Yarrowia lipolytica: one gene and its partner. The protein of the gene in region 2 interacts with the protein of the main gene of each other region in a pairwise test. Links are inferred from orthologs where the notes say so. Each region holds a gene or a part of one and is shown on either strand. Other genes may lie near its edges. The genes, in order: YALI1_A11415g and YALI1_E01649g.

The links.
Region 1: the proteins of YALI1_E01649g (region 2) and YALI1_A11415g interact in a protein complementation assay, tested with the Saccharomyces cerevisiae proteins (2 studies listed by BioGRID). The link is inferred for Yarrowia lipolytica from reciprocal best matches to the Saccharomyces cerevisiae genes PNO1 and KEL3.

What each region holds. Positions count from the first base shown.
Region 1 is NC_090770.1:1,139,088-1,143,660, reverse strand, and holds YALI1_A11415g (uncharacterized protein), read left to right. Parts: upstream 1-2,113; coding exon 2,114-3,991; downstream 3,992-4,573.
Region 2 is NC_090774.1:163,531-167,120, forward strand, and holds YALI1_E01649g (uncharacterized protein), read right to left. Parts: upstream 1,462-3,590; coding exon 685-1,461; downstream 1-684. Other genes in the region: YALI1_E01623g (uncharacterized protein), read left to right, coding at 1-305; YALI1_E01657g (uncharacterized protein), read left to right, coding at 2,186-3,590. UniProt on the Saccharomyces cerevisiae protein: Required for small ribosomal subunit (SSU) synthesis. Has a role in the processing of early nucleolar and late cytoplasmic pre-RNA species. Recruits DIM1 to nucleolar pre-RNAs.

The DNA of each region.
Region 1 (4,573 bases), on a different chromosome or scaffold from region 2:
CATCCTCGGCTGCACGAGTTTGGGGGCACTTTGTGGACGTTGTGGCGGTTATTTAGAGATACAGAGCATGTCATCGCCATCTCCAACTCCTCCTGATACTATTGCCGAGTTTAGATTCTCTCTTTGTGCGCCTTTAAGACTAACAGACGAAAAGTTATTTGTCGGTTTCAGCCGCGCCAAACTCTAAAACACGTAGCTCTCGGATCGGCATTTACGAAACGCCGATATACGAGATGACGTGCCTGTGATTGATTTACGACTAGTTGGAGAAGAGCGGTGGGTCGATACGTGGTTGGAAATGGTCTCTCGGGCGTTTGTTTCTAAAAATCCGTCTTTTGAACAGCTGTGCGGGCGATATGGGTTCCTCGACCTAAGAAAATAATTTCTGGCTCTTTCGGGCTCTTCCGGGGAATACAATGAGATATAGACACGGCTTAGAGTACGATATATAGCGAGGGGTTCTTAAAAGGAACTATTTTTGAGACATGTGTTTATGCGGTCTGTATGGATGGAATCTCAGCAGACTGTTTTGAGACACACCTTGGGTCTACTGTGAGACACACCTTGGTGACGTGACTGGATGAGATTGCAGAACCGACAGAGTGAGGACTTCAGGCAAGGCCCTATTATCACTGTCTGATATGGAGATATCATTCAACCATGCGACTGTCACGATGTGCCCGACGATTGGAGTGGCCACTGGGCTCCTTCCAAGTCTTCAGATAAGCATAAAAATGAGTCCTTGTACGGCTTCAACAAGATTGCCCGCAATGTCCAGAGAACAGATAGTCGCATGTTATGCTTGCTCATTTAGCTCTTTGAAGCAATATTTGCTATTCCCGGTTGTATATTTGTACTCAATGGAGCTGTAACAGCTATTCACAGTTGTATATTTGTACTCAATGGAACTATGGCCGTTCCTTCAGAGTGTTAGATGTATCTACCGTGACTGGACCAACTCCTTGATTCTCTTGTGGTGAAGATGAGAGGGGGACCAGCTTGATCATAGACGAGATGTCCATCCTGTAGATAGTATTCCACTGATGTACTAAATCTCTTCTGGTGAATGAGCAAACACACATCCTTCTGGTGTGTACTATTATCGGAACATAGTGTCCCTACAAGTGAGTTGTAAGTCATCAACCATACTTACGGTCTTCTATACTTGGGACGCCGGTCGGGTCAATTCCAGACACGATGGGTTCCAGAATAGCAATATGACGGCAATTGTTATCTCTCACACAGCAGCATTGGAACTTGGCATCTTGTCCTGAGTACGACAGAACTTGCTGAAGCCATCAGAAGACGAGCAAGCTCTGGAATAACAGTAGCCAAATGTTGGCGTGTCGTCGTAGAGCCAGCTTCTTCCAGAGAAATGTCAAAAGGTAAGAGTTGTTAATTCCGGTGATGCCATAAAGTGGGTAATGGTGGAATTTGCTTGGTTTAGATCCAAGTCTTTGGAACCTCCAAACTTCCTCTATGGTTCTGACATGCTGGGCTCTGCTTCATGAGAGCGGAGTGGACAAGTTGTAAATACGGTGTAATGTGAGTGAAAATTCATGCCCAAATCGGCCCAAGAGATCGCACTGGAAATCAGTCCTTCTTTGGAATGGAGAAAGAGAGTCTTAGATTAGCTCCCTACAGATAAAGGATGACAAAGGCGGCAGTTGAAACTTGATTTTTCTAATATCTCAAATATTTCAAGTGGTAGACCCCATACTTATGACCAGATAATCCGTCTAGAGGCTCCATTTTGCCATTGCGGCAGCTTTTTGACATTCTTCGGATCATGATGAAAGTCCATTTTTTCTAACAACAATCACGCGGATTTAGCTCAGTTGGGAGAGCGCCAGACTGAAGTCATTCTTCGGTCAGAGTAATCTGGAGGTCCTGTGTTCGATCCACAGAATTCGCAATTACTTTTTCTTTTTTTTTCCCTCATTTAGCAGTTTTTTTGGTAGTTGATCGATTCAGCTGTCGAGAAATGTCTCTTGAAGCCTTGTTACGTTTTTCAACCACAGTTTCACCGGCAAACTGGCGCATGAAATAAAAAAAGAAATAAGTTTCACCTATAGATAATTTTATTTTTCGCACAATCTGATCCAACATCAACATGGCCAAGGACAAGAAGAAGGACAAGGAGGCCAAGAAGCTGCGAGCGGCGGAAAAGGCCAAGAAAAACGCCGCCAAGGGCGAGAAGAAACAGAAGAAGGTGGCGGCCAAGCAGGGCGAAGACGAGGACGACATGGACATTGACGAGATTCTCGCCAACTACAAGAAGGAGCAGGAAGCGCACGATAAGGTGACAATTACCAACGTGGAGCGGCCGAGCAAGCGGGTCAGTTGCTCCATGTGCACTTCGCCGGTTCACGGCAAGAAGGAGCTGTTTTTGTTTGGTGGAGAGGTGTCGAACCACTCGGGAACATGTGCCTTCTTCAACGACTTGTACTCGTACAACATCAACACGGATCAGTGGAAGAAGATTGAGTCTGGTAACTCCCCACTGCCCCGGTCCGGCCACCAGATGATCACGCACCCCAGTGGAATCATTCTCATGTTTGGAGGAGAGTTTTCGTCACCCAAACAAAACACCTTTTACCATTACGGAGACACATGGCTGTTTGACGCCGAAACCCGAGAATGGAGCAAACTGGACCAGAAGAAGGGCCCCAGCGCCCGATCCGGACACAGACTGACGTACTGGAAGAACTACATCTTGCTGCACGGCGGTTTCCGAGACTTGTCGCAGTCCACCACGTATCTGGATGATCTGTGGGCTTTTGACGTCACCACCTACAAGTGGACTCAGATCGAGTTCCCTCCCAACCACCAGACTCCCGACGCTCGATCGGGCCACTCGTTTGTGCCCAGTCCCGAGGGTCCCGTCATTTTTGGAGGATACTCCAAGGTCAAGCACAAGGGCAAGAAGGCCGTTGTCGGCAAGGTGCATCAGGATGTGTGGCATCTTAAGATGAAGGCCGATATTAAGGCTTCTCGGTGGGAGAGACGTAAGAAGGGACAGTACGCGCCTTCTCCTCGAGTTGGTGCTTCTCTGGTGCACCATCGAGGTCGAGGAGTCATGTTTGGAGGAGTGTTTGACACCGACGAGACCGAGGAGAGTCTGGACTCCACTTTTTACAACCAGCTGTACGCCTACCAGATTGAAAGTAACCGGTGGTTTGGTCTGTCTCTGCGAAGTGCCAAGAAGCGAAAGGCTGCATTGGAACGGGCCCAAATCAGCCGAGACGACGATCTCAAGGCCACTCTTGACAGCATTTTCAAGGACAAGCTGGATCTGGGTGAGGACGGTGAGACTCCTGCGGTTGAGGAGGAGGAGGAGACTCTCAAGGACTCCGATGGAGAGGAGGTGGTGCAGAAGGAGTATCCTATTGCCAACCAACTGCCTCATCCTCGGTTCAATGCTTCCATGACCGTCTGTGACGACGTTCTTTACGTGTTTGGAGGCTCATGGGAACGAGGGGACCGGGAGTTCACTTTGGACACCTTCTATGGCATTGATCTCAACAAGCTGGACGGCGTGAAGGTGTTCTGGGAAGACCTGCGGGAGCTTGAGGAGGCGGACGTTGACTCTGACGAGGAGGATGACGAGGAGGATGAGGACGACGAGTTTGAAGAAGACGACGACGACGCTGAGGGTGTGGAGGAAGACGACGGCGAGGAGGAGGAAGAAGAAGAGGAGGTTTCCAACGAAACCATTCCCGATCCCCGACCCTGGCTGCCTCATCCCAAGCCGTTTGAGGTCCTTCGAGCCTTCTACGTGCGAACTGCAGACAAGTTCCTGGAGTGGGCCCTTTCGGCCGACCGAGAGGCCCGCGGAAAGGATCTCAAGAAGGTCGCGTTCGATCTGGCCGAGGACCGGTTCTGGGAGCGACGAGAGGAGGTGCGAGTCATGGAGGACCACTTTGAGGAGATTGGCGGTGTTGCCGAGGTGGTGGAGCGAGATGTGCGAAGTGGAAAAACCAGACGGTAATCTATAGACTTAGATAGACGGAAAAATAAGACAATTTGAACAATGAGAACTCGTACGTGGCGACAAATGTGGCACATAGAGCAGAGCGAGGAGCAAAAAGAGGCCATTCTCTGAATGCCTGCTGGTCCCAAAAAGAATTGCGAATTCTGTGGATCGAACACAGGACCTCCAGATTTCAAGACTGAGAATTACTTCAGTCTGGCGCTCTCCCAACTGAGCTAAATCCGCAATATATCTCAAGAAAGTGAACTTTCAATATAAACTCCAGTTTGAATTTTATTGCCCGAATGGCTCAAATCGGGTATTTACGTCTTCCAATTCATCCAAACATTGTTTAAATACCAAATAAAAATCCTTTCTTCTATTTTATTCTCTAAATTTTTCATCTATATCGCTAATCAGTCTCCATCTAACATGAGTCGAATCCAACTTCGAACGAGACATCACAAGCAACTCCCGGCTCCCATGTCCCAAAGACTTGGTTCTGAACTCCACGTCGATCTTTTTTTCTCGAGAATGCCGTTCCCGGCTTCTGGAGATGCTTCTCTGGAACCCACCCCTACTTGTGGGCTTTGAAACCGC
Region 2 (3,590 bases):
CTATTGTCACCTCCTCTGCTTCTACCCGAGAGGTCAAGATCTGGCGAGAAACCAACAAGGACGACAAGTACTCTCTTTCCATGGTGGCCAACCGAGACCTCTCTTGCGGTAAGGTCTTCTCTGTGGGTTTCAACCCCGACCAGGCCTGCGCCGGTACTCTTTGTGCCGGTGGCCATGGAGGTGAGCTCAAGGTGTGGGACATGTTCGGAACCAAGGCCGTTCGAGAAGCATTCGACATCAAGAGCAGTAACCACTCTAACGACGTTATTGGTCAGGCTTTTGATGACGAGGAGGAGGATGAGTAAGCAAGGGGTCTTCGGATGATTAGATTACAAAATTGAAATAGATATTATTAGTTTACGATGACCCACGTGTATGAGACTATCGTACTTGTAGCTTACAGAGTGGATAGGAAAGATATCGTATCCATCTATTTGTAACTGATACGCGTACATATAGTTCAACGTCTCAACATTTGAGTCAACAGATTTATCTATGAGTAGCGTGTTAGTCTCGCTAACGTATAGTTCGTACCCGAATAGTACGCGACTACAACAGGTAAGGTGATGGGCTCTAAAAGTTGGCAGATCCATCTTGTACAAAGTACACACATTCATAATCTATCAAATGTTTTTGTTATGTATGTTTGTATGTCCCTCCAATATACTAATAAGTTATGCATGACTAAAAGCGTTCCTTCATTCGAGAAGCAACAATACGCAGGTTTCCGTACACCTTTCCAGGAGGACTACCCAGAATGAGAGAAACAATAGCCTCCCGTGCGATTTTGATGTTGGTGAAGCCGCCGAGAATGTGGATCTTGGAGTCGGCCAGCACTACTCGGGTTCTCGATGCGTTCTCAATGGCAAACTTGGTCTTACCGTCCTTACCGGCGATTCGGCCAATGGCTCGTCCCAGATGGTCTCCCTGAAGAGTCTTGACGTCCTTGATCTCGAATGTCTCGACGTACAGCTCATCCAGTCGAATGATAGCCATAGCATCGTCCACGTCAAAACCCAGAGTGAATGCTCGCACGAAATCGGTTCCCTTCTGCAGAGCCGAGTTGTCGACGGTATTTGAGCATGTTCGCAGCTCAAGCTGCTTCTTTCGGGGGTTCATTCGTACCTGCAGCTTGAGCTGCTCAACCAGAGGAGGGTAGATCTTCATCCACTCGTTCTTGAGAGGAGCCATTCGATGAGGAGGAATAGGCACCTTCATTCGGCCAGGCTTGACGCCCTCGCCGGCGTTGACGGCAGATGCAAATCGGGGCTTTCCGTCCTGGTCGAGAGTCATCTCGGCGTCGTCATCCTTCTCCTGGAGCACGGCAATGTCTTCTCGAGGTCCGTCCATGGAGATCATGACCTCGTCCTCCTCAGCACCCTCAGTTTGGGGGATGGCGACGGGAGCGTCTGTGGTGGGCTCGGTGGCCTGTGTCTGTCTCTTTGCCGTTGGGGCACCCATGTTTTTATCAGTTTTTGTGGTTGTAACGGATCGTTAACAGAGTGAGAAATCAGGCTGCATGAGAAACGGATTTTTTCCAAATTAAATTTTTGGCCAGTGACTGCAACTCTAATTAATGGCTGGGCACGATGCAAGCGCTATGTGAAGGGCTTACGGGAACCAAGATAGCTCATAGCGTGTCCAACTGGTAATAATGGTTGGGAAGAGACAATTAATTGGCGTGAATGGGAGTAGTCGATGAGAGCAAATAAATTTATTAGCAAGCATAGACATCTGACCCACTTATATACGGTTGCCCACTGACTCACTTCTATACGGGTTGCAGATATTTCGTACAGTAGCTAGATTGAAAGAGATGTCTCACTACGGATCCAGACCCCCAACTAATTGCTCATCAATAACCCCAATTAATACTTACCCAATATTGCACCCAACGCCACAAAATATAGTTTGCCAATTACGCTTGCGTGCCAGCCTCAGCATGCCAGTTTCTTGGTGTAAAAATCTTATAAGCTTTAAGCCAATATGCAGGCGCAGAGGGAACATGAGCAACGAAGGAAAGACATTACACTCGGGCTCTCTTCTCATTGCACTGTACTTCCCCACAGAAACGACAACGTCTCAAAATTCAAGTTGACCTATTTGCTAGGACTGACCGCCCCATTCAACTACCGTCGTCTACACAAATACAACAGTCCCAGCTAGTTCAACACTATGCTCAATAATGGCAACACTACACAGAGTTTCCAGACTCTGTACTAGACGGCTTGCCTTGCCCTCTCAACGGAGTAGTTGGTTGAAACTTACGACCCTGTCCCCTCGACCCTTTCTTACACACCCTACCACTCTCCCTGTGACACCGTGGTATTCTCTGCGGCATTCGTTTCACTCTACAAGTGGCGTGAGGGCTGAACTGGAGGAAACGTCACGAAACGTGCGCAAGTCCAGTGAGAACCTGCACAATGCTGCAAAGGAGCTGGGCAGCAAGAGCGAGGGCGAAAAGACCGTCACAGATACAGACTCAGTCACAGACACAAAGCCAGAAGACAAGCCAAGATGGAAGAGACCCACCAAGGAGGAAATGCTGTCGACTGCCACGGGCTTCTACAATCGAATGCGAGTGCGGTTCAAGTGGGCGCTCTTCCGCCAGGACCGACCCACCAACATGGACGACATTTCTGCATTTCTTTCGTGGTTCATGGTCGGTAACATTGTGTGGATCGTGCTGGGTACCACCACCTTCTTCTCGTTGGTGCTCTTCACCATGAACACCGTGTTCGCACAGGAATGGATCGCATCCAAGATCGGAAACATTGTCTCACGACAGACCGGCATGTCTGTCGTCTTTGAGGAGGCAATTGTGCCCCATTGGAAGGGTGGCGTCATCCAGTTTCGCAACGTTTTCGTGTCCCGAAGGCCTGGAGGCGGACACAAGGCCCGAAAGGGTAGCCAAGGGGAGGCTGCTGCCCTAGCTGGTGAGAAGCAGTATGGCAGCTTGTCATCGGCTCCGCCGGACGATGACGGCAACTACACACAATTTGACCTGACCATCGAGACAGTGGATGTGACCCTGTCGTTTTCGAAATACATGTCAGGAAAGGGTATCCTCAAGGAGGTTGAGGTTAAGGGAATTCGAGGAGTGGTTGATCGGAACCATCTACGATGGAAACGCAACCAGGACCCTCGAAACAATCGAAACGTACATAAGACCGGCGATTTTGAGATTGAAAACTTCAAGCTCGAAGACGCGCTGGTGTCTCTGCATCAGCCGGGCAGAGACAAGCCCTTCAACGTATCTGTGTTCAACATGGAGTTGCCCCAGCTCCGAAAGCACTGGTTGTTCTACGATCTACTATCTGCCAACAACCTGAGTGGATCGTATGACAACTCCCTGTTCACCATCCACCCTCGGCAGATTCACGGAGTGCCTTCTTCGCAACTCAACGAAGACAAAACCTGGAAGAAGGTATCTCGTCTGAGAGTTGATAAGGTGAACATTGAGCACCTCAACCGAGGAGTTCAGGGCGCGTTCGGCTGGATTGTGTCAGGAAACGTGGACCTTCTGGCCGACCTCATGCTTCCTTCAGATACTGACGACTACACGATGTCTGAAATGATGAAGGACGTAC